Callithrix jacchus: one gene and its partners. The protein of the gene in region 3 interacts with the protein of the main gene of each other region in a biochemical or structural test. Links are inferred from orthologs where the notes say so. Each region holds a gene or a part of one and is shown on either strand. Other genes may lie near its edges.

What was found.
Region 1: of the proteins of AURKB (region 3) and RACGAP1, one has a biochemical effect on the other in vitro, tested with the Homo sapiens proteins (2 studies listed by BioGRID and IntAct). The link is inferred for Callithrix jacchus from reciprocal best matches to the Homo sapiens genes AURKB and RACGAP1.
Region 2: of the proteins of AURKB (region 3) and CENPA, one has a biochemical effect on the other in vitro, tested with the Homo sapiens proteins (3 studies listed by BioGRID). The link is inferred for Callithrix jacchus from reciprocal best matches to the Homo sapiens genes AURKB and CENPA.
Region 4: the proteins of AURKB (region 3) and KLHL9 form a complex in vitro, tested with the Homo sapiens proteins (2 studies listed by BioGRID and IntAct, with this or other methods). The link is inferred for Callithrix jacchus from reciprocal best matches to the Homo sapiens genes AURKB and KLHL9.
Region 5: the proteins of AURKB (region 3) and CDCA8 form a complex in vitro, tested with the Homo sapiens proteins (3 studies listed by BioGRID, with this or other methods). The link is inferred for Callithrix jacchus from reciprocal best matches to the Homo sapiens genes AURKB and CDCA8.
Region 6: of the proteins of AURKB (region 3) and KLHL13, one has a biochemical effect on the other in vitro, tested with the Homo sapiens proteins (2 studies listed by BioGRID and IntAct, with this or other methods). The link is inferred for Callithrix jacchus from reciprocal best matches to the Homo sapiens genes AURKB and KLHL13.

What each region holds. Positions count from the first base shown.
Region 1 is NC_133510.1:69,589,683-69,593,182, forward strand, and holds part of RACGAP1 (rac GTPase-activating protein 1), read left to right. Parts: intron 1-1,549; coding exon 1,550-1,714; intron 1,715-3,500.
Region 2 is NC_133515.1:88,212,135-88,216,244, reverse strand, and holds the start of CENPA (histone H3-like centromeric protein A), read left to right. Parts: upstream 1-1,310; 5' UTR 1,311-1,481; coding exon 1,482-1,575; intron 1,576-4,110. UniProt on the Homo sapiens protein: Histone H3-like nucleosomal protein that is specifically found in centromeric nucleosomes. Replaces conventional H3 in the nucleosome core of centromeric chromatin that serves as an assembly site for the inner kinetochore.
Region 3 is NC_133506.1:74,672,293-74,675,000, forward strand, and holds the end of AURKB (aurora kinase B), read right to left. Parts: intron 2,661-2,708; coding exon 2,522-2,660; intron 2,425-2,521; coding exon 2,276-2,424; intron 1,160-2,275; coding exon 985-1,159; intron 810-984; coding exon 636-809; 3' UTR 501-635; downstream 1-500. UniProt on the Homo sapiens protein: Serine/threonine-protein kinase component of the chromosomal passenger complex (CPC), a complex that acts as a key regulator of mitosis.
Region 4 is NC_133502.1:128,320,033-128,323,963, forward strand, and holds the start of KLHL9 (kelch-like protein 9), read right to left. Parts: upstream 2,801-3,931; 5' UTR 2,254-2,800; coding exon 400-2,253; 3' UTR 1-399.
Region 5 is NC_133508.1:74,255,919-74,259,418, reverse strand, and holds part of CDCA8 (borealin), read right to left. Parts: intron 3,341-3,500; coding exon 3,268-3,340; intron 1,288-3,267; coding exon 1,199-1,287; intron 1-1,198.
Region 6 is NC_133524.1:114,040,794-114,044,848, forward strand, and holds the start of KLHL13 (kelch-like protein 13), read right to left. Parts: upstream 2,801-4,055; 5' UTR 2,509-2,800; intron 1-2,508. UniProt on the Homo sapiens protein: Substrate-specific adapter of a BCR (BTB-CUL3-RBX1) E3 ubiquitin-protein ligase complex required for mitotic progression and cytokinesis.

The DNA of each region.
Region 1 (3,500 bases), on a different chromosome or scaffold from region 3:
TTGAGCCACATGATAGTAAGTAAAAGATTTAGCATCAAGGTTTTCTTTTCTTTTCTTTTTGAGATGGAGTTTCGCTCTGTCACTCAGGCTGCAGTGCAGTGGCTCAATATCGGCTCACTGCAACCTCCACCTCCCAGGTTTGACTGATTTTCCTGCCTTAGCCTCCTGAGTAGCTGGGATTACAGGTGCACGCCACCATGCCTGGCTGATTTTCTGCATTTTAGTAGAGACGGAGTTTCATCATGTTGCCCAGGCTGGTCTCGAACTTCTGAGCTCAGGCAGTCTGCCTGCCTCAGCGCCTCCCAAAGTGCTGTGATTACAGATATAAGCCACAATGCCTGCCCTTTTTTTTTTTTTTGAAAGAGAGTCTCACTCTGTTGCCTAGGCTGGAGTGCAGTGGCACAATTTCGGCCCACGGCAACCTCCACCTCCTAGGTCAAGTGATTCTCCTGCCTCAGCCTCTTGAGTAGCTGGGATTATAGGCGCCCACCACCACACCTGGCTAATTTTCGCATTTTTAGAAGAGATGGGGTTTCACCATGTTGGCCAGCCTGATGTCAACCTCCTAACCTCAGGTGATCTGTGGTGATCCACCAGCCTCAGTCTCCCGAAGTGTTGGGATTGCGGATGTGAGCCACCCTGCCCTGCCAACGTCCAGGTTTTCTGCTTCTTGTAAATAAGTTCTTTTCATTACCACACACTGCTGCCTTCCAGCTGGATGACCTTAAACAAATTACTTAACCTCTTTTTGCATCTGTTTTCTCATCTTAAAATGAAGAAAACAAAACCTATCTTCTGGGATTACTGTGAGAATTACATATGTAAATACATGTAAAGAGCTTAGAAAGTTTTTTAGCACATACTAAGTGCTCAATAAATGTTAGTTGATTATAGTGTGGTGGCTCATGCCTGTAATCCCAGCACTTTGGGAGGCTGTGGTGGGCAGATCACCTGAGGTTGGGAATTCCAGATGAGTCTGACCAACATGGAGAAACTCTGTTTCTACTAGTAATAAGAAAATTAGCCAGGTATGGTGGTGCATGCTTGTAATCCCAGCTACGTAGAAGACTGAGGCATGAGAATTGCTTGAATCCAGGAGGTGGAGGTTGTGGTGAGCCGAGATTGCACCATTGCACTCCAGCCTGGGCAACAAGAGCAAAACTCCATCTCAAAAAAAAAACAAAGAGGCCGGGCACGGTGGCTCACACCTGTAATCCCAGCACTTTGGGAAGCTGAGGCGGGCAAATCATGAGGTCGGGAGTTCAAGACCAGCCTGGCCAACATGGAGAAACCCCCATCTCTACTAAAAATATAAAAAATTAGCTGGGCATAGTGGCAGGCACCTGTAATTCAGCTATACAGGAGGCTGAGGCAGGAGAATTGCTTGAACCTGGGAGGTAGGGGTTGTAGTGAGCCAAGGTTGTGCCACTGCACTCCAGCCCAGGTGACAGAGTGAGACTCCGTCACACACACACAAAAAGTTTAGTTGATTATGTTAATGATTTTCTAATTTATATCACTCTGTTCCTTTTGCCCTGTGTTATCCCAGGTTATTAAACCTGAGTCCTGTGTTCCATGTGGAAAGCGGATAAAATTTGGCAAACTATCTCTGAAGTGTCGAGACTGTCGTGTGGTCTCTCATCCAGAATGTCGGGACCGCTGTCCCCTTCCCTGCATTCCTACCCTGATAGGAACACCTGTCAAGATTGGAGAGGTATGACTTATGTGAGCCATCGTTTTATGGCCTCTTTATTAGCCTTTCAAAGGCTTAGTGTCAGTTTTTGTTCTAAAATTAATGATCCCAGGCTGGCAGTGGCTCACACCTGTAATCCCAGCATTTTGGGAGGCAGAGGCCGGCTGATCACGAGGTTAAGAGATCAAGATCATCCTGGCCAACATGGTGAAACTCCGTCTACTAAAAATACGAAAAATTAGCTGGGCATGGTGGCGCATGCCTGTAATCCCAGCTACTTAGGAGGCTGAGGCAGGAGAATTGCTTGAACTTGGGAGGCAGAGATTGCAATGAGCCAAGATAGCACCACTGCATTCCAGCCTGGTGATGGAGCGAGAGTCTGTCTCAAAAAAAAAAAAAAAGAAAAGAAAAGAAAAGAAAAGAAAATTAACGATCCTAAATATATTTCTTTCCACAAATAATGAATAGAATTGCAAAATATTTACTTGTAGAAGAGTCATGTTTGGGTTTGTCTGTCCTTTCTAAACCAAACTTCTTTTCCCTCCCCCTTTTCCTTCTTCCTCTTCCCTGCTTCTCCTTTCTTCCTCTTCCTTCCTTCCCCTCATCCCATTTTGGAAAATTTTAGACATATATAGAACTAGAGAGATGAGTATAACTAATCCTTGGTTCTTACAACTTGACTTCCATGATTACTAACTAGTTTCCACTCTCTCTCTCTCTTTTTTTTTTTTTGAGAGAGTCTCACTTTATTGCCTAGGCTGGAGTGCAGTGGCACGACCTCAGCTCACTGCAACCTTTGCCCCTCTGGGCTCAAGTGATTCTCTCACCCTAGCTTCCTGAGTAGTTGGGATTACAGAAATGAGCCACCACCATGCCTGGCTGATTTTTTTTGTTGTAATTTTAGTAGAGATGAAGTTTCACCATGTTGGCCATGCTGGTCTTGAACTTCTGACCTCAAGTGATCCACCCACCTCAGCCTTTCAAAGTACTGTGATTGCAGGCATGAGGCACCATGCCTGGCCGTGTCCATTCTTTTTTTAATGTCTTTTTTTTTTGGAGACAGAGTTTCCCTCTGTTGCCCAGGCTGGAGTGAAGTGTTGCAACCCTGGCTCACTGTAGTCTCTGTCTCCTGGGCTCAAGTGATTCTTGTGCCTCAGCCTCCCAAGTGGCTGGGACTACAGGCATGAGCCACCATGCTCAACTAATTTTTTATGTTTTTAGTAGAGATGGGGTTTTGCCATGTGCTCTCAAACTCCTGACCTCAAATGATCCGCCTACCTCACCCTCCCAGTGTTGGGATTACAGGTGTGATCTGTAATCCCGCACCCAGCCTTTATGTCTGTTCTTGATTTATCAGTAGTGTTGTTGCCTCCTCCTGACTGTCCAGTGAATTACTTTAAAGCAAGTATCAGCTATCATACAATTCTATCTGTGAATATTCTTGCTCTTATGTTAGACATACTCCGTAATAGGGTATCAAGATTAAGTTGCTTATTTCCAAATATTTAACCAGTTTAAACTGACTAAATCCATTAAGAAATTATTTATTGCTGAGCATGGTGGCTCATGCCTGTAATCCTAATACTTTTGGAGGCTGAGGCAGGAAAATCACTTGAGCCCAAGAGTTTGAGACCAGCCTGGACAATAACACAAGACTCCATCTCTCCAAAGAGTAAATAAATAAGTTAGCCAGGGTGAGTAGTGTGCACCTGTGTTCGCAGCTTCTTAGGAGGCTGGGTTGAACTCTTCTTGCTTGAGCTGGGGAGGTTGAAGCTGATTATGTACCGGCCTACCCCTCAGCAAATCA
Region 2 (4,110 bases), on a different chromosome or scaffold from region 3:
ATGTTGACCAAGCTGGTCTTGAACTCCTGACCTCGGGTGATCCGCCTTGGCCTCCCAAAGTGTTGGGATTACAGGTGTGAGCCATCGCACCCGGGCCCAGCATTTGTCCTTTGGTGACTGCCTTAAACTTAGCATAATGTCCTCAAGGTTCATCTATGTTGCAGCACCCGTCGGAATTCCCTTCCTTTTTTTTTTTTTTTTTTTTTTTTGAGACGGAGTTTCGCTCTTGTTACCCAGGCTGGAGTGCAATGGCGCAATCTCGGCTCACCGCAACCTCCGCCTCCTGGGTTCAGGCAATTCTCCTGCCTCAGCCTCCTGAATTCCCTTCCTTTTTAAGGCTGTTTCTGCCTTTGGGCTGTTGTGAAGAATGCTGCTATCAACATGGGTGTGGGAATATCTGTTCAAGTCCCTGGCTGTATTTAAATTCTTTTGGATATTTAGCCAGAAGTGGAATTACTGGATCATCTCGTAATTCTATTTTTGATTTTTTGAGGAACCACTAATACTGTTTTTCACAGCAGCCGCAGCATTTTACACTCCCACCAGCAATGCACCAGGTTTCCATGAAATCACTAATTTTATAACTAACGTTTTTCCTGATTACAGACAGTACACGTTCACTGTAGAACATTTAGAAAATTCAAGAAAGAAAATTTAGAAAATTTAAATTCCCCTTATTCCACATACAGGAACATGACTTGAATTTTTATTATCCCCAACAAAGAGGAGAAAGGGTTTTTCTGGGACGATTGCGTTGCTATAGTGCCGAGGCCTGCCCTGCACGGATCTCATCCTCAAAGCCCCTCCGATCCCGGCGTCCCCGCGACCCCAAGCATCAGCCAAGTTCATGCAGTTGAACTGGCTTCTGAGTATATACGTGGATAATTCCCCGGAGGGCCGCAGACGCGACATGGGGTGGGTCTGGGTTGCTAGGGCAAAACATAAAATGTTTGAGGAAAGTGACTTGTCTAGAGAAGCACGTTCTGCAAACGCACCATCCACGTTCCAAACTGAGCATCGGTGTTTTGACCGAAGGGCACCTGAGGACATCAGTACAGTCCTGCAAAGGCCAGCACCCAGATCAGCAAGCAGAGAGCAGGAGAATTCCCCGCCCCATCTCACTTCTTTAAGTGCCTATTGGCTGATTTCACCATTAGTCCCCGCTGGCCTGCTATCACCGCCGCCGTTTGTGTCTCGGCCAGTACTCTCATTGGTCCTATCCGCAGTCGCTCTACGTAAGGGGCGTTCCAGAGTCAGCCACTGAGAGTCGCTGGATTCGGGTTTTAAAAAACGCGGGCGGTGAAGTGGGCGGAGCGAGCGATTTGAACGCGAGCGGCGCGGAACGTGGTTAAGCACCGGCTCCTCTAAGGCTCGCGGTCCAGGGCTCTCCGAGCCTACCCAGACGCCAGCCTTTTGTCCCTGGACCCGGCAGCCCAAGCAGGAGCCGTGGGGCCGGGCGCCAGCACTCTCCGCGGCGCGCCATGGGCCCGCGCCGCCGGAGCCGCAAGCCCGAGGCCCCGAGGAGGCGCAGCGCGAGCCCGACCCCCAGCCCCTCCCGGCGGGGCCCCTCCTTAGGTAACCGGCTGCGGCCCTGTCTCGTAGAGGAGAAAACCGAGGCTCGCAGGCGGAGCCCGGATCTCCCGAGTCCCGGTCGCGTGACCTTCCCCTGCTGGGGGACAACACGGTTCCGCTGTCCGGCATCCGCCCCGGGCACGAGCGGTGTCAGCCCTGCGAGGGACTGGAGCAGGCGGTTCGAAGCGGGAAGGGACCAGCTCCTAACGCCGCCTGCTTGTTAGGACTAGCGGTTACCCAGCGCCCACCGCCAACCAGGCATTGCGTCCCTACTGTTCGTGCGTTATCTCAGCTTCAGGTCGTACGCGTTTTATAGCTAATGAAAAAGCCGAGGCACAGACAGGCCAGGGAGCTTGAGCAGAGTCACATAACTTGTTCTGGCGGACACGGGATTTCCAATCCTCTGTGTCTGTGCTTTTTTAAAATTGCAAAAGTATTGACTGCTTTCAGTGACGATTTCAAACTGCAGTCCTCTTAGGAGGCGTCTTTCAGGTTTTTTTCCCTTCCGGGAGAGACTGTTTAGACCTTGAACCGAGGCCCTCTGCGATGCTCACTCTGTTACCTTCCAGAGCTTATGTCCGGCAAAGAGGGGCCGAAGTCTGTGTCTTCACTGTCTGTATGGTGGGCTGGTGGATGGGAAACAGGGGCAGGAGGACGCAGATGCCTGTATGGTACGCGTGGCAATAGCTGCTTTACTTATCTCTAAACTCTTGCTACATAGCCATGAACAAGATGGGGAAAGTGTATTGTAAATTTGTTTGTTTTTTTTAGAGACTGGGTCTCCCTGTGTTGTCCGGACTGGTGTCAAATAAGTGATCCTCCTGCCTGGGCCTTCCAAAGTGCTGGGATTACAGGCATGAGCCACTGCGCCTATAGGCTTTTTGTGTTTTTTGTGTTTTTTTGAGACCCATCGCCCAGGCTGGAGTGCTGTGATGCCATCAGGGCTCACTACAGCCTCAATTTCCCAGGCTCAGTGATTCTCCCACCTCAGCCTCCTGAGTAGCTGGGACTACTGGCATGTACCACCACGCCTGGCTAATTTTTTGTAGTTTTAGTAGAGATGGGGTTTTGCCATATTGCCTAGGCTAGAGTAGGTTTTTCTAGATGTTGCTGTCGTGAATGGGATGTTTTTTCTTTTCCAAAACATGAGTATTTAACCTTTGCATCCAGCCGACTTGCCGAATTCTCATGCATCCTAATAGTCTTTTAGTTGCTTCAGTTGGAATTTTTAAGTCGACTATATGTCACCTGCAGATAACTTTTGAGTCTTCCGTTTTCGTTTCTACACATTTTATTTCTTACTGTATGGTATTAGTAAGGCCCTGAGATTCGCCAAGAGCAGTGTTTTGGCCATCTTTGTCTCATTTGTAATTTTAACAGGAATATTAAGTGTGATGTTTGCTGTTCCTTTCCAAGGTAGAAACATCCTTCTATTCCTGGTTAAATGGAAGGTTTCTCTCAAATGGGCTCTCAACACTTCTTGGTAGTCCTACCTGCTTTGTCTGGTATTCTCTAATTTTAGAGACAGAGTCTCACTTTGTCATCCGGGCTGGAGTGCAGTGGTGCTATCTTGGCTAATTGCAGCCTTGACCTCTTGGGCTCATGTGATCCTCCGGCTTCAAAATGTTTTGACTCTACAAAAATATTGCCCAGCATGGTCTTGAACTCCTGGCCTAAAGTGGTTCTCCCGCCTTGGCCTTCCAGAATGATGGGATTACAAGAATGAGCCATCTTGCCTGGCCTTTGTCTGGAATTCTTGCTTTTTCATTCTCCCCATGACTATTTCTTTTATTTTCTTTTCTTTTCTTTTCTTTTTTTTGAGACGGAGTCTTGCTGTATCACCAGGCTGGAGTCAGTGGCATGATCTCGGCTCACTACAACCTCCGCCTCCTGGGTTCAAGTGATTCTCCTGCCTTAGCCTCCCAAGTAGCTGGGACTACAGGTGTGTGCCACCATGCCCAGCTAATATTTTATTTTTAGTAGAGCGGGGTTTCACCATATTGACCAGGATGGTCTTGATCTCTTGACCTCATGATCTGCCTGCCTCAGCCTCCCAAAGTGCTGGGATTATAGGTGTGAGCCACCACGCCTGGCCCTCATGACTATTTCATACCTTTTCCTCCCTCCATGACTTCCTACAGCTCCATTCCCCCCACTCACTCTTAGCTAATGATGGCCTTGACTAAGTTCCCCTTCCTATCAAAGCCACCCCTCCTTCTACATGGGCTCTTGGTCATATCCTTCTTTCACCTACAAGGAGCTTTCTGTTGTCCTTTCTACCTGTGCTTAGATAAATCCAGACACTTCACATTAGCATTGGCAAATGTGCTCTAGTATTTATGATGTTAAGAGAAAGTACAGGAGTGTTTCCTTGACCCCACATTCTCACCTCCCTATACCTCCCATTTCTCTCTACTCCCCCTTCATAGCCATCGTTTTAAAATAGCCAGACTTAGTTAGGTCTACATATGTTGTGTCTGATTCCTTCCATCCTAGTGACCCTACAACCTACTCCAATCTGACTCCCCACAACCACTA
Region 3 (2,708 bases):
CCTGAAAAAGGGTATCTATGAAAAACCTACAGAAAGCTTCATATGTAACTGTGAAACCTTGTGTCAGGAACAAGACCGAATCACTACTGCTTCTTTGGCTCCTGTACCAGAGCAGTAAAAGAAACAAGCAAAGACGACTTCTAGGGTACAGCATTGTTCAGTTGCTCCTACAATGGCAAAGGGGCAGAGAATGAACCAGAAGAGGAAAAACTACAAGTCAGACAACCAAGAGAGAGGTGAAAAGTGGCCAGAGATGGCTGGTGTGCCAGGGTCCAGCGCCTCCAGGCTCTGGGAGCGAATAGACAGTGAGGGCAGAGGTGGAAGTGGGGGTGGCGTTGGCTGGGAACTGACCAGGTGAGAGTCAGAGCTGAGAGGGTAGGGTATTACCAGGGATAGCAAAGTAATGCTCATCCCAGCTCCTCAGGGTGGGCCAGCTCTCTTCTAAGGAACAGCTTCCACCACAGCAAAGCATCCACCTAGAAACATCTACACTCATCAGTATACAAAAAGCTTCAGCCTTTATTAAACAAAGGAGGAGGTAGAAGACAGACAAGGGAACAGTCAGGGCCCCTTCTTTCCCCTGTACATACACAGACATACAAACATAGACACACCCGAGTGAATGACAAGGACCATCAGGCGACAGATTGAAGGGCAGAGGGAGGCAGCACCCTCCGAGAGTTGGCCTGGACCCAAGGGTGGGCTGAGACCTGGGCCAGGGGCAGCCGTTCTGAGGGGTTATGCCTGAGCAACTTGGAGATGAGGTCCTGGGCTCCCGTGGGCACTGAAGCGGGAAACTTTAGGTCCACCTGCAGATATGAAGAGATGGAAGGGCTGCATTAGTTTCATCCTGGCTACATCTTCCTTGACTACCCATTCTGTTTGGAGTTACTTAGGGCCATGCAAATACACTCTGCCCACACACCCTCAGCCCCCCAGCCCCTGGCCTCTGCATCTGGCATGAAGCCCAGGCCACCCTCCCACCTTGACGATGCGCCGATAGGTCTCATTGTGTGATGCACTTTCAAAGGGTGGGTTCCCCACCAGCAGCTCGTAGCAAAGTACTCCAATGCACCACAGATCCACCTTCTCGTTGTGCGTGCGCCCCTCAATCATCTCAGGGGGCAGGTAGTCCAGGGTACCACACATTGTCTTCCTCCTGGGAGGGATAAGCGGTGTGGGCAGGGGTCCCAGTGACATACAATCTCTCCTTTCCCTGCTGCCTGACAGCAGGGAGCCAAAAGACCACAGGATGTACCACGGGAGAGGTCCAGCCAGGCAGGGTTACTGGGGTGGGGGTGGGATGATGATATATCCCGAAGCCCCAGAGTTAAGCCTGCACATAGCCCCAGCAATTCTACACTGTCGGATATATCTTAACATAATCTAAGGCCAGGCACAGTGGCTCATGCCTGTAATCCCTACACTTTGGGAGGCCAACGTGGGCGGATCAGGAGGTCAGGAGATGGAGACCATCCTGGCTAACACAGTGAAACTCTCTACTAAAAATACAAAAAAAGTTAGCCGGATGTGTTGACACATGCCTGTAGTCTCAGCTACTGGGGAGGCGGAGATTGCAGTGAGCCAAGATTGTGCCACTGCACTCCAGCCTGGATGACAGAGCAAGACTCCATATCTTTCTGGTTTTGTGTTTTTGACTCCATCTCAAAAAAAAAAAAAAGATAATCCAATGTGTGGGCAATGTTCATTTTGGAGTTAAAGAAATAATTGGAGACATCTCTAATGCCCATCAGGCATGTTCTGCTTAAATAAATCAGGTTGTATCTCTACCATGTGATACTATGAAACCATGAAAAAAAAGGTATGGAAGAAAAAAAGGCTGCTGCTCCTGGGCTTTTTTGAGACAAAGTCCAGGCTGGAGTGCAGTGGGGCGATCTTGACTCACTGCAACCTCTACCTCCCGGGTTCAAGCGATTCTCATGTGCCAGCCTCCTGAACAGCTGGGATTACAAGTGTGTACCACCATGTCTATTTTTAGCAGAGAGGGGGTTTTGCCATGTTGGCCAGGCAGGTCCGCCAGTCTTGAACTTCTGGCCTCAAGTGATCCAACCACCTTGGCCTCCCAAAGTGCTGGGATTACAGGTGTGAGTCACCGTGCCTGGCCAAAGTTTGGCCACTGGCCTGTACAGATACCAAAACTGCAACCTTGGCATTATTAGCACCACACTCTAACCAACTGAGCTAACGTGAAACTTGTTCCTGGAGAGGTTTTAATGGCCCAGCCTCACACCTCTGGCCTCCCAGGCCACCATACCTCAGGGAGGGTGCGTGCACAGACCAGCCGAAGTCAGCAATCTTCAGCTCTCCCTTGAGCCCTAAGAGCAGATTCTCTGGCTTTATGTCTCTGTGAATCACCTTCTTCCCATGGCAGTACATTAGAGCATCTGCCAACTCCTCCATGATCTGGAAGGGCCAATGACAGGCAGTCAGACAAAGATGGACCTCCAGCTACAAGCAGCACAAGCCCCTACCGGCGCCCTAGGTGCCCACGCTCCCGGACCGTGGCTGTTCGCTGCTCATCAAATGTGCGGTTCTTCTGCAACTCCTTGTAGAGCTCCCCACGGGGAGCATACTCTAGAATCAAGTAGATCCTCCTCCGGTCATAAAAGTAGTTGTACAGCCGCAGGATGTTGGGATGCCTGGGGGAAGAAATGAGGAGGCCTCAGGCCAAAGGCATAAAAGAGCTG
Region 4 (3,931 bases), on a different chromosome or scaffold from region 3:
TTAGGAAAAGAGGGAGGCAGCCATTATACTCAGCAACCTTTTGTTATTTTTAGGTTAGAGTGGCCTCCCTCTGACATTTTGGAGTCAAAGATGAAAACTCAACTTTGAGGCATAATTATACATTTACCACAGTCATCTACAATTTTATATAACATCACAAGAAGACATCTAAACATTTTTCTACATCTATTTTTTTTCATTTGTAAAAACAGCTAGCTATGTTAAATACATTTTCAGAATGCATTTGTTAGCCATTTGATAAACGCACTAAGCCAAACAAGACAAATAACATCAGTTATCTTTATATCTAATAACTGTACCAATCACTGTAAGAAGATACAACTGAAGGGGAAGTATTAGATCACCCACGATGTACTGCAAAGGTATTACACCTTAGACCTAAGAATGATCTGAAGGTGCTGAAAGAGGTGATTCTCTAGAAGGTGACCCAGGGTTTTCTTCGGGTGGAAAAACTGTGAGTGTACAAGCTCGAATGCCACCAAGTGACTCTGGGAGATCAAAAACTTTATGCCACTCATCTTTTTCTGGGTCATATTTCTGGACAATTTCTACCATACAACGATTATTCCAAGAATATCCACCAACAACGTAGATTTTATTTTCAAAGACGGCAACTCCAACATCACTTTGACCTCTTAACATGGCGGCAATTGGGGTCCACTGGTCAAGGGTTGGTGAATAGTATTCACAGCTTAGAACATCATCATAATCACTTGTTCCTCTGAAGTGATTGCCACCAATGACATAGAGCTTGTCTCCAACTGTACACATGCAATGCAGACCTCTGACTGTAGTCATTGGAGCCTTTTGCATCCATTTGTCTGTATCTGGGTCAAAACACATGAGCTCATTTTGGAAAGTGTCATGGGTAATTCCTCCTGAAATATACATTAAGCCTCCATATACTGTTCCAGCATGTCCATAGTGGGGTTCACTCATTTTTGCAACATAGCTCCACTCATTCATTCTTGGGTTGTAACATTCTACTGTGGCTAGTTCACCAGCTGCACTGCGCCCACCAACTGCATACAAATGTCCTTTGAGGGCACTCAAGTGAAAGAATGTGCGCTTTTCATTTAATGATGCAACCTGCATCCATTTATTATACCGAGGATCAAACCTGAAAACTGTATCAACAGCAGTTTTTCCTTTTGTATCGTAATTACTTTGACCACCAACTACATAAAGAAAGTTTCCAATGACAGCAATGCCATGCTGGTAACGGGGAGCATCCATCGGGGCTAAAGATCTCCATTCTTGTGCCCTTTCATCATACATCCGTAATTCTTTACTGACAACTAGCTGCTGCCTCAAAACTCCTCCTAATGTAACCAAGTGAGTGGAGTCCGATCGAATGGCAGTTCTATCTGACTGCATCACTGGCTGCATATATGGCATCATTTGGTAATTGCTAGCTTCCAAAAGCAGATTCACACAGGTATTGTCTGTTCTCATGAAATCTACCGTCTGCACGTAATTGATGAGGTCCTGTGGTGTCATCAGTGGAAATCGAATATTCTTCATTAATTTTGCAGCATAATCCATCCGAGGGTCTTCCAACCTTAGCCAGCGACAGGCAGCCTTAAAGAGTTCAAGTTCGGTACAGTGCTTAAGACTGTTACTGGAAAGCACAAAGGCAAGCCGTTCAAAAGGGAGTTTTAGAAACTCTCCAGTACTCAGTAAAGCAGGAAAGTTCTTCAGGATGAAATTATTAACATATTTATCCACTTCTATAAGATTGTAGGTGTTAGCAATTCGTCCAACCTCAACACAGTTATCTAAAGAGACTCCTGATATAAGAAATACTTTACAGAAGTCCAAAACAGGTAGTATTTGTAAAAAGCTGGCAGCTTCAAGTGTGTCCTGAAGACTGTCCATATTAAGAGAAAGTTTTGCAGTATAAATAAAATCAATGATTTTCTTCAGACCAACCTTGTTCACCCCATGAAGTTTAATGCACATCAAATCCTGTTCTTTCATTCCACCTGTGAACATAGCCTTGAAATAATCACTAGCAGACGCCATCATAGCTCTGTGAACAGGGAAGATTTCATCTCCATCACCTGGTACGAGGGTCACATCACAAAGCAATCCTTCTATTCTAAGCTGATCAAAGCCTTGCAGTACCACCGAACTGTGAGTATTGCTGGTAAAAAAGCGTGTGGTTCCTGCCTTACAAGGCTGCAAATGGGCAGAGACGCCCATTTCGCCGTTACCAAGGGACACTTTCATGTGAAAGCTTTCCTCCTGTACAGAGATGCAGGCCGGAGAAAGAAGTTATAACCGGAATGTTTTACAGTCAACGAGGTGTCCACAAAGAACAGAGAGCTCGTTTCCTTATCAAAGGAAAGCAGTCACTGCGGCACCCCTCAGGCCACGCCAGTCAGTCATCCACTAAAAATCGCCCTGTAGCAAGATCACAAAGGGCTGTGGACCTCAAATCTGATTATTAGACAGATAATTCATGACCTGTAGGTGGATAAATGACCCGGTTTACCTCGTCTGGCCTGCGCTGCCGCTCCTTCAGCAGTTCCGCTTCGGGCAAAGGGGAGGCGCAGCCACGTACTGCGGCTCCAGGGCCCGCTCGGCGGCGAGTCCAGGCTCCTCAGCGAGCTGCCTGCTGCGCCCTCCGCTGTACCTAGAGTGTCACAGCGGCCACCGGCCAGTCTTTGAGCAAGTGCCTGAACACAGACCTGGACCTGGGCTTGGGCCTGGAACACCGGCCTAGCCCCGGTCCCCAAGCGGCTCCTTCCGGGAAAGCCTAGTCCCAGGATCCCCCGGGGTGGGAGCGGCCGTTGCGGCTACTGCGGCTGCGCAGCCTCCAGAGCTCGTCAGTGGGCGGATGTGTGGGGGTGGTGAAGGGGGAGGAGGAGCGCGGCAACCGGGGACTGCGAGGTTGGGGAAGCGGGGCACCCTGAAGTTGACTCCAGCCCGACGTCTTAGAGTTGCCTTGTACTTGGGACTAAATAGAACAGAATGTGTGCACATATGTTATGCTGCATATTTGATGTAAGGTTTTCGCATATCTGAGCTCTTACGTTTCCCAAATGCATTTTTTAAAGCTTTACACTTCCTAGCTTCTGTTTTTTTGAATAGCAGTGAAATGCAGCTTTTTTATAAATTGAAAGAAAACCTGGTAGAAGAGTACGGGAGGATGCTTAGTTTTTTACAAAACAATAATTATCGCACACTATTTAATACCCCAGTTACAATTTTGGTTCATATTTTCGAATTTGTTGTAATTTCAAGCACAAAGTATTTGTCTCTTTGCTAGATTGTGACTATTATGTAAATGGTATATTCTAAATTTTTGGCTTGAAATGCCTTTGTTTTCCACAATTTAAAAAATGCCTACATAATTTTCCTATAACTATACATAATATAGTTTCCTTTGCCCATTGTTTGTTCCTGAATATGTACCTTCTTATCCTCCATTGTTATATAGAATCTGTAGTGAACTTATAGAATCTGGTAGCAAAATTTTAGCCCTGTTACGGATAGTTAGTAAAATGCTGATCCAAGACAATATTTCCAAAATATTATCACCCCTTCTGCTGACTTTTCCCTTTATGAGTATTTTGTTAACTTGCATTTATTTAATTAGTGGTAAATTTAAATTCTGACATACAAATCAATGTATACTTTGGCACAATTTCTTCCATTTTCCAAATTTGAAGTTTATGTCTTTTAAATCCTTCTAGTTCTTTATGCAAATGCAAAGTAAGAACATAGTCATATTTTTATTACACTCTCATTTTTATATAAAAAATAGCACACCATGTACACTGTTCTGCATCTTTTTTCACTTCAAGATCTTCCTGAATTAGTATTTAAAGGGCTTATCTATGTTTTTAAATAATTCTATTGTTGCCCTTTGAGTTGTCATAAATTATTTAACCAGTGCCCTTTT
Region 5 (3,500 bases), on a different chromosome or scaffold from region 3:
AGAGGAAAGGTAAGGAGAGTAAGGAGGGTTTTTTTTTTTAAAAGGGTTTAAAAACACAAAAACAAAAAACAAAGAGAAAGGGAACAAGCTTTGGATAGTTAATACTAAATATAATAAGAATTCAATGACTTAAATAGTTCAGAACATAACTTAACTGAATTTCCACTGGCTGGGTTTTCAAAATAGAGGATTTGGGCCAAGATTAAAAGTAAATCTCTTTTGAACTGATTGCAGCCTGGCTTGTCCCCCTCTAGGATACATAAAGGGCTGCTGTGAAGGTCACTCAGGGCATCTCAGGTGCACAATTGAAGGCAAAGCCTGCAGTGCTCCCATCCTGGGGCCTGGGAGGTCCCTGGCAAGAATCACTCCTTATCTTCCATATATTCACTCCTCCCTTGTCCTCCGTGATGGATCCATCTTGCCTGCTTCTCTAGCTTCCTTGGCAGCCTGCCTTAGGAGCTCCTCTCTCTACCCTCCCTGTATGTTCACCCTGAGGCTCCCTCCCTTCCTGCATAACCATCTCCACTCCCACAGTGGGACAAACACCTAAAGATCTGGGAGGCAGTGTATTTCTCAATCTCCCTCTTCTCCCTGAGCTCCAGGCTGAAATTTCTGTCTAGCCTAGATGTCCTGGAAAAGTATCGAATGGTCCACATGCCATGCAATTGACATGTACTCCTCCTACCCCTAGTCCAGCACCACTCTGCCACCCAAGTCCCACACCTCACTGGATGGCGGTTGCCTTAGCTAGAAACCATGGAGTCGTCTCTGATTCCTCCTTTTCTCCACCAACCATGCCACTTTCTAAAACCTATCTCAAAACCATCCCTTCTTTTTATAGTATCAGCATGTCAGTTCAAGAATTTATAAGCTTCCAACTGGTTTCCCCATCTCCAGTTTCCCCCTCCCCCATTTATCCTGAATACTGTTCCTCTTCCCTTTCTTCTTCAGCTAGCAGGCTCTCACTCACCTTGAAAGCCCTGCCCATGTCCTAATGGGGTAGGGGAGACTTGCTACCTTCTTCTTCTGTGTTCTCTACACTTTGGACACCAGTCAATTATCACTTTTGTCACTGCCATGTAAAGTAGGATCATCTCTACTAAACTGTAAGCTCTGGTGCACAACAACGTATTTTATGCATTTTTGTATTTGCTTGTTTCATGGTAGCCCTCAGCCCCCAACCTCAGTGTCCACTTACTCTCGCAGTTTGAAGATTCTTATGTTTATTTTCTTCTTCTTCTTCTTCCTCTTCCACTATCATTTCATCAACTTGTATTACCTTTCGTGCTATAAGAAACAGTTTCAACAGTGTGGTATTTCTAATGAGAATAAAGTTTTGGGCATTCACATTTCTTATAGGAATAAAACATATGCAATCCTAAACTGCAATTAAGAAATGAACTAAAATTAAAGAAGACTTTTTTTTTTTTTTTTTTTGAGACGGAGTTTCGCTCTCGTTACCCAGGCTGGAGTGCAATGGCGCGATCTCGGCTCACCGCAACCTCCGCTTCCTGGGTTCAGGCAATTCTCCTGCCTCAGCCTCCTGAGTAGCTGGGATTACAGGCACGTGCCACCATGCCCAACTAATTTTTTGTATTTTTAGTAGAGACGGGGTTTCACCATGTTGACCAGGATGGTCTCGATCTGTTGATCTCATGATCCACCCGCCTCGGCCTCCCAAAGTGCTGAGATTACAGGCTTGAGCCACCGTGCCCAGCCTAAAGAAGACTTTTTAAGAAAGAGAGTTTAGATAAAGGAAACTAATCAGTGTTAAGAAACCCCACATGATGCTTTGTAGGGACAGCCCAGCATTCTGAATAAGACAAACTTGAACTTGCCCTGCCTGGAAATCCTGGCCATGGGTCAGGATGTTCTTATAAGAGCTGGATGCATCAAACTATCATAGCTTAATGACGGTGACATTAAGTCCATGTCACAATTCATCCTGACCCAATTCCTTGCTCACTAGTCACAGCCTGGTCTCCCATATAACTTTTCCTGTAAGATAGTGTTTCTCAGAGTGTGGGACATGTATGTAAGATGATTTTATGCAGATAGATCGTGGAATTGAGTACCTTTTTTTCTCCCTTTTCTTTCTTTCTTTTTTTTAATCAGAGATAGCATCTCACTATGTTGCCCAGAATGGTCTTGGACTCCTGGGCTCAACTGATCCTCATGGCTTAGGATTACAGGTGTGAGTCACTACATCTGGCCTGAATTGAGTAACTTTGAACTTTATGCAGAGAAAGTCACTTCTTTTTCTTTCTTTCTTTCTTTTTGAGACAGAGTCTCGTTCTGTCGCCAGGCTGGAGTACAGTGGCGCAATCTTGGCTCACTGCAACCGCCGCCTCCCGGCTTCAAGGGATTTTCCTGCCTCAACCGCCCGAGTAGCTGGGACTACAGGCACATACCACCATGCCTGGCTAATTTTTGTATTTTTAGTAGACACTGGTTTTACCCCGTTGGCCAGGATGGTCTCGATCTCCTGACCTCATGATCTGCCTGCCTCAGCCTCCCAAAATGCTGGGATTACAGGCATCAGCCACTGCACCCGGCCAAGTCATTTCTTTTTTTATTTTCTTTTCTATTGAGACGGAGCTTTGTTCTTGTTGCCCAGGCTGGAGTGCAATGGCCCGATCTTGGTTCATGGCAACCTCTGCCTCCTGGCTTCAAGTGATTTTCCTGTCTCAGCCTCCTGAGTAGCTAGGATTATAGGCATTCACCACCATGCCTGACTAATTTTGTATTTTTAGTAGAGATGGGGTTTCTGCATATTGGTCAGGTTGGTCTTGAACTCCCCACCTCAGGGGATCTGCCCGCCTCGGCCTCCCAAAGTGTTGGGATTACAAGTGTGAGCCACCGTGCCCAGGTCAAGTCACTCCTTTTTCAGTTCTCTTTCAACTTTGCTGATTCTCAGGTGGTCTTACCAGTCTTTTAACACCTCTCTAGCAACAATGTTTGGTTTCTAGCACAGCTTTGTATTTTTCCTTTTTTCACTTTCACTTTAGTTCACACAGCGGTCTTGAGGTTGGTTAGCAGCAGTCCTGCATACAATAAACTAAATTTCTGGTTTGAATTGGTGTTTGGGTAAAACAAAACAAAACAAAGCAAAATACAGCATCCAAAAGCAAGTCTTTAGATTTACAAGATTAAGAACCAGACATTAAAGGGAAGACACTCTACCAAGAGGGCCCTGGCTGAGCAGCCAACCACGCAAGCTGAGCCTCAGTTCTTTCTATTGGACAAGGAGTTTTGAAAAGTACTCACTTTTGGCAGATTTCAGGGGTGTCTGAATAGCTTCTGCTGTTAGTTTGTTTATTTCAGTGATATCCAGGTCAGCCTATGACAAACAGAGCCAGAAAGCACCAGTTATTTCACCAAAATATGAGGAACAATATTTTGAGATAAAAAATTTTTTTTAACTATTTGATACATTAGACTGTTAAATGTAAGTGATAATACAATATAGCAGACTCCCATAAAGCCACCAGGCAACCCAA
Region 6 (4,055 bases), on a different chromosome or scaffold from region 3:
GGAAATCTGTTGTATTATTTCATAGCAATAAAAATAGATCAGTTTCAACCAGCAGATTAAAGAAAAAAAATTTTCAAGAGGTTTTAGTGGTTTATCAAACATCAATAAAAATCAAACAATTTGAAAATTGGTCAGTCTCATTTCACTAATGCAAGTCAAATTACATGAAGAAACATAATATAAAATGTAAATAAAATGAGAAAGAAGATAATCCAATAAGTAAGTACAGTTACCTTTAGTAACATCAGAAATATCCAGTCTGATAACCTCTAGGTGTACCAGATGGACTGTCAAACACACACTGAATCATATTGAAGATTCAGAGCAAAATGCTAATGGTTAACTCACATCCACCTTTATTCCTTTCCTGACAAATACAAATAGTCTTACTATGCAATCACATTAGTGGCAATCTTAGCTTAGACTCAGTATCAATAATAATCATGAAAAGAAAATTGTATAAACTATTTTCCTTGAAACAGTTGTAAGTTTGTATGTCTTATGAGAATGGTTTCTCAAGAAAAGTACAGATTTGGAAAGGTGGGCTATTAGAGTAAGTACCCTTTCCCCACTACATTCCAATTTTTAATAAACCTCAAGTAAACTCAGAAATTTACCAAATCAGTTGGGAAATGACAAATCATCTGCAAGTTATCTAACTAAATTGATAAGCAATAGGCTTTACTTTTATTGTGAAAACTACTTTCTTCAGAACATCAACTAAGCCTTATATAATCACATTACACTTTTCGAAGTGTGCTTATAAAAATGGCAGATTAAAAACATTGGGCTTTTTAAGAATTGAAGCTCTTATTTATCTGTTTTTTAAATGCATCATTTGATGTTGCAGCAGAAACTACTCTCATCTCACTGCCATAAGAAGTTCTACCAGGCAAAAAAATTTAGCCATTATCATCATTCACAACTTGGTTTCTTCTGAGATTGCTGCCAGTTAGTGCACACTGTGTCAACCGCAACACTTGGTCACACATCAGGCAAACAAACTCTTTTACCATTAAGTATAAGGATATTAATAAGAACTTGCAGTTAAGGGAGCTAATATTTTTAGATGTAAAATGATGTCACAAATGCTGAATTATTTCATTTTCCTCAGTTTTTAAATTTGAACACTAGATATGGCCTATTTCCAAAAACACAGCTGCATATGTCAGCATGTGCTTGTTCACTGGTATTCGCCTCCACTTTCTGCTTCTCCATTCAGTTTCCTTCACACACTAATTGCAGCATGGAAGTGAGCAAATGAACCTCAGCCTGGGAGCTAACACCATAACTACATGGGGAGAAAGTGATATTGCTAAGAGTGAGCAGACTTTTTTTTAAACTACGTTGTTTTGAAATATGCTGCTTTTGGAGGGTTTATACAAATACAAGATCCACTGTTAAGGAACTGTGGCTTCAGAAAAAAAAAAAAAAAAAGCAGGTGCTCTCCAGAGACAGTTTTAAATCCCAGCGTCTCTTAGTCCCCATTCAATGTGCTTAGTAACCAGCCTATGTTAACTTGAGTGACTTTATCCCAAACCACTAAAGTCCTCTGACTACATTAAAACGATGAACATTATAGTTTACAATTAGAGAAATGGAGCCAGGCATCACAAGTTCCACCAATCCTCTGTCTCTCAGGCCTGCTGAGAAGCCAGGGAAGAATCAGATTTAGGATCATGTATGAGATTGCGTACAAACATATATATATATATATATATATATATATATATACACACACACACACACACACACACATATATACACACACACATACACATACACACATACACACACACACACATTTAACTGGCTATTGTTCTTGGGTTAACTTAATGAAACCTAGAAAGAAACTTTAAAGTTCCCTAGTTGATATTTACTAAGGATATTTAGAGAAGGAATGATCTCATCACTTTCAGTAAACTGTAGCCTAGACTGCAAACCTCCAAGAAAATCATTAGTCAACTGTGATTTAAAAAAAAAAAAAGTCAAGATATTCTGAACGCAGAGTGAAGTTAAAAGCTTGGAGAACAGGAGTGTGCTCTTCAGTTGGAAGCCAGCAGAGAAGACTCAAGTTAGGAGATTCTGAAGGAGAGATGGATTAGGAGGCACAAAGCAGAAACTGTTAGAGGGCAAGAGACAGTGGGGCCGAGGTGGGCAGAGGGACCCCAGACTGTCAGGGCAGCGACAGCGAGGCCCAGAAAAGAAGATCTTGGAGAGATGAGAAAGAAGCAAAGGAAAACTAGGTTCTGGGGTCCTAGAAGAACCTACGTGTCCGACGGAGCCAGAGGGACCGGGAGAAAGGGATGCGAAGGTGTAAGGATGAGGGCGCGCACCAGGACGCGGGAGAAAAAGAGGGTGGGCGGGCAAAACGAAGCTGGTTCCCTGCTCCTCTGCTCCTCTGCCCCTGGCACAGATCGCAACTCCTCGCCGCGCACCGCGCGGCGCCGGTTCCAGAGGCGGGGAAGCGGCTGATGGAGCCCCTGTGACTTCAGGACCCTGCCTCACCTTGCTCGCCGCGTCCTGGCGTCGCGCCGCTCGTCCGCCGGGTGCTGCGCTCCGAGGGCCAAAGAGGGAGTCGCGCGATGCAGCCCAAGCTCCCTTCTGCTGCGAGGCACCAGCACCCGCACCTTCGCACCCTCTGCTAGCCCGACCACTTCACCCTGTCCTGGCGCGGGCGGAGAGCACGGACCCTAACCCGAATGCCGCTCCAGTTATTTTCAAAAGTCCCCGTTCCAGGTTTCCCGGCAATAAGAGCTGAGCTACTGCGGCCGCAGCGGCAGAGCCTCCGCCTGACCTCACCAGGGTGTGGGGGGGCCGCCGAGGGAGGGGGGCGGGAACCCAGTTGGGGAGGGAGGGGGTAGTGGGGGGAGGGAGCGCGCGGGCGGGGGAAACATGGCGGCGGGGGTGGCCCCGGCAGCGCCTGCGCGGGAGGCAGGGTGGTGGGGAGCTGGGGCTAGGACAGTGTGTGGGGTCCGAACGGAACTCCCAGGCTGTAGCCAAAGCGCGACGAGGCTGGACCCTGAAGCTGAATGACCGCTAAGTGGCCCTCAAGCCTCCGAAACCGGGAGGCTCGGGTGTGAGCCCACGTGACTTCTAGTGCCAGGAGGCAGAAAAAGTGAAAAGTGTCAAGTATCCAGGGAAAACAGTGCATCCGCCCGGGGTTAGCCACTTCAAGGAGGTCCACCCATGCATTTTGCCAGCCGTGGCCTCGGCCTCCTCACAGTCACGGCGGGGCTCGGGCAGAGGGTGTGCTCTGGAAGCGGTGCCACCTCACCTCATTGGGGCCCAGGTCTCAAAATAAGTCTGACCCAGGCTCTCACACAAATATCACTCTTCCAGTGGGATAAACGCTTCATCCCTCCCTCTCCCTGCTGCAGTACGCAACATTAAGAAAGAGGAAGGATACAAACTACAAATAATAACAGTTTAACGTTTTACTGAGCGTCTGCTATGAACCAAGCACTGAAGTATCAGCTTACCTAACTCACAGCTACTCTGTAAGTTACACACTATTATTTCCATTTTACAAGTCACAAAACTGAGGTTAAGCAAGTTGCCGGAGGTTATATAAACAGTAAGTGGCAGAAGCGGGACTCAGGATCCCAAGCGGTGTGATTCTGGCACCCAGGCTCTTAACCACTGTGCAAACTGCTTCCAAACTCTGGTGGGACTCCTTTTCTAGGTCCGAATCTTGATTCTGTTTCGTCGACCTAGCCCCCAACAAAAATCCCAGTCAAGCCTGTTTTTCCCCTCGTCTTCCATTCATTCTTTGCCTTCTTGACGGTTACAGCCTGGGGCCACCTTCTTACACCTCTTCCTTTGCCCTTTCTACTTATGATTCCAGACTCCTCCTTGAGAAAATAAAGTGAGTTTGCTCTTAGCAACCAGTTTAATCAATGTTGAGTTTTTTTTTCTTTGTCTGTCTTCTTCTTCTTCTTCTTCTTCTTCTTCTTCTTCTTCAGGAAGTGATGTGGTGAGTGTGGAATCTTTATGTTTTCTAGGATTAGGAGATGTATTTCAAGCAATCAGTTTTAGCATGTATCAAAAACCTG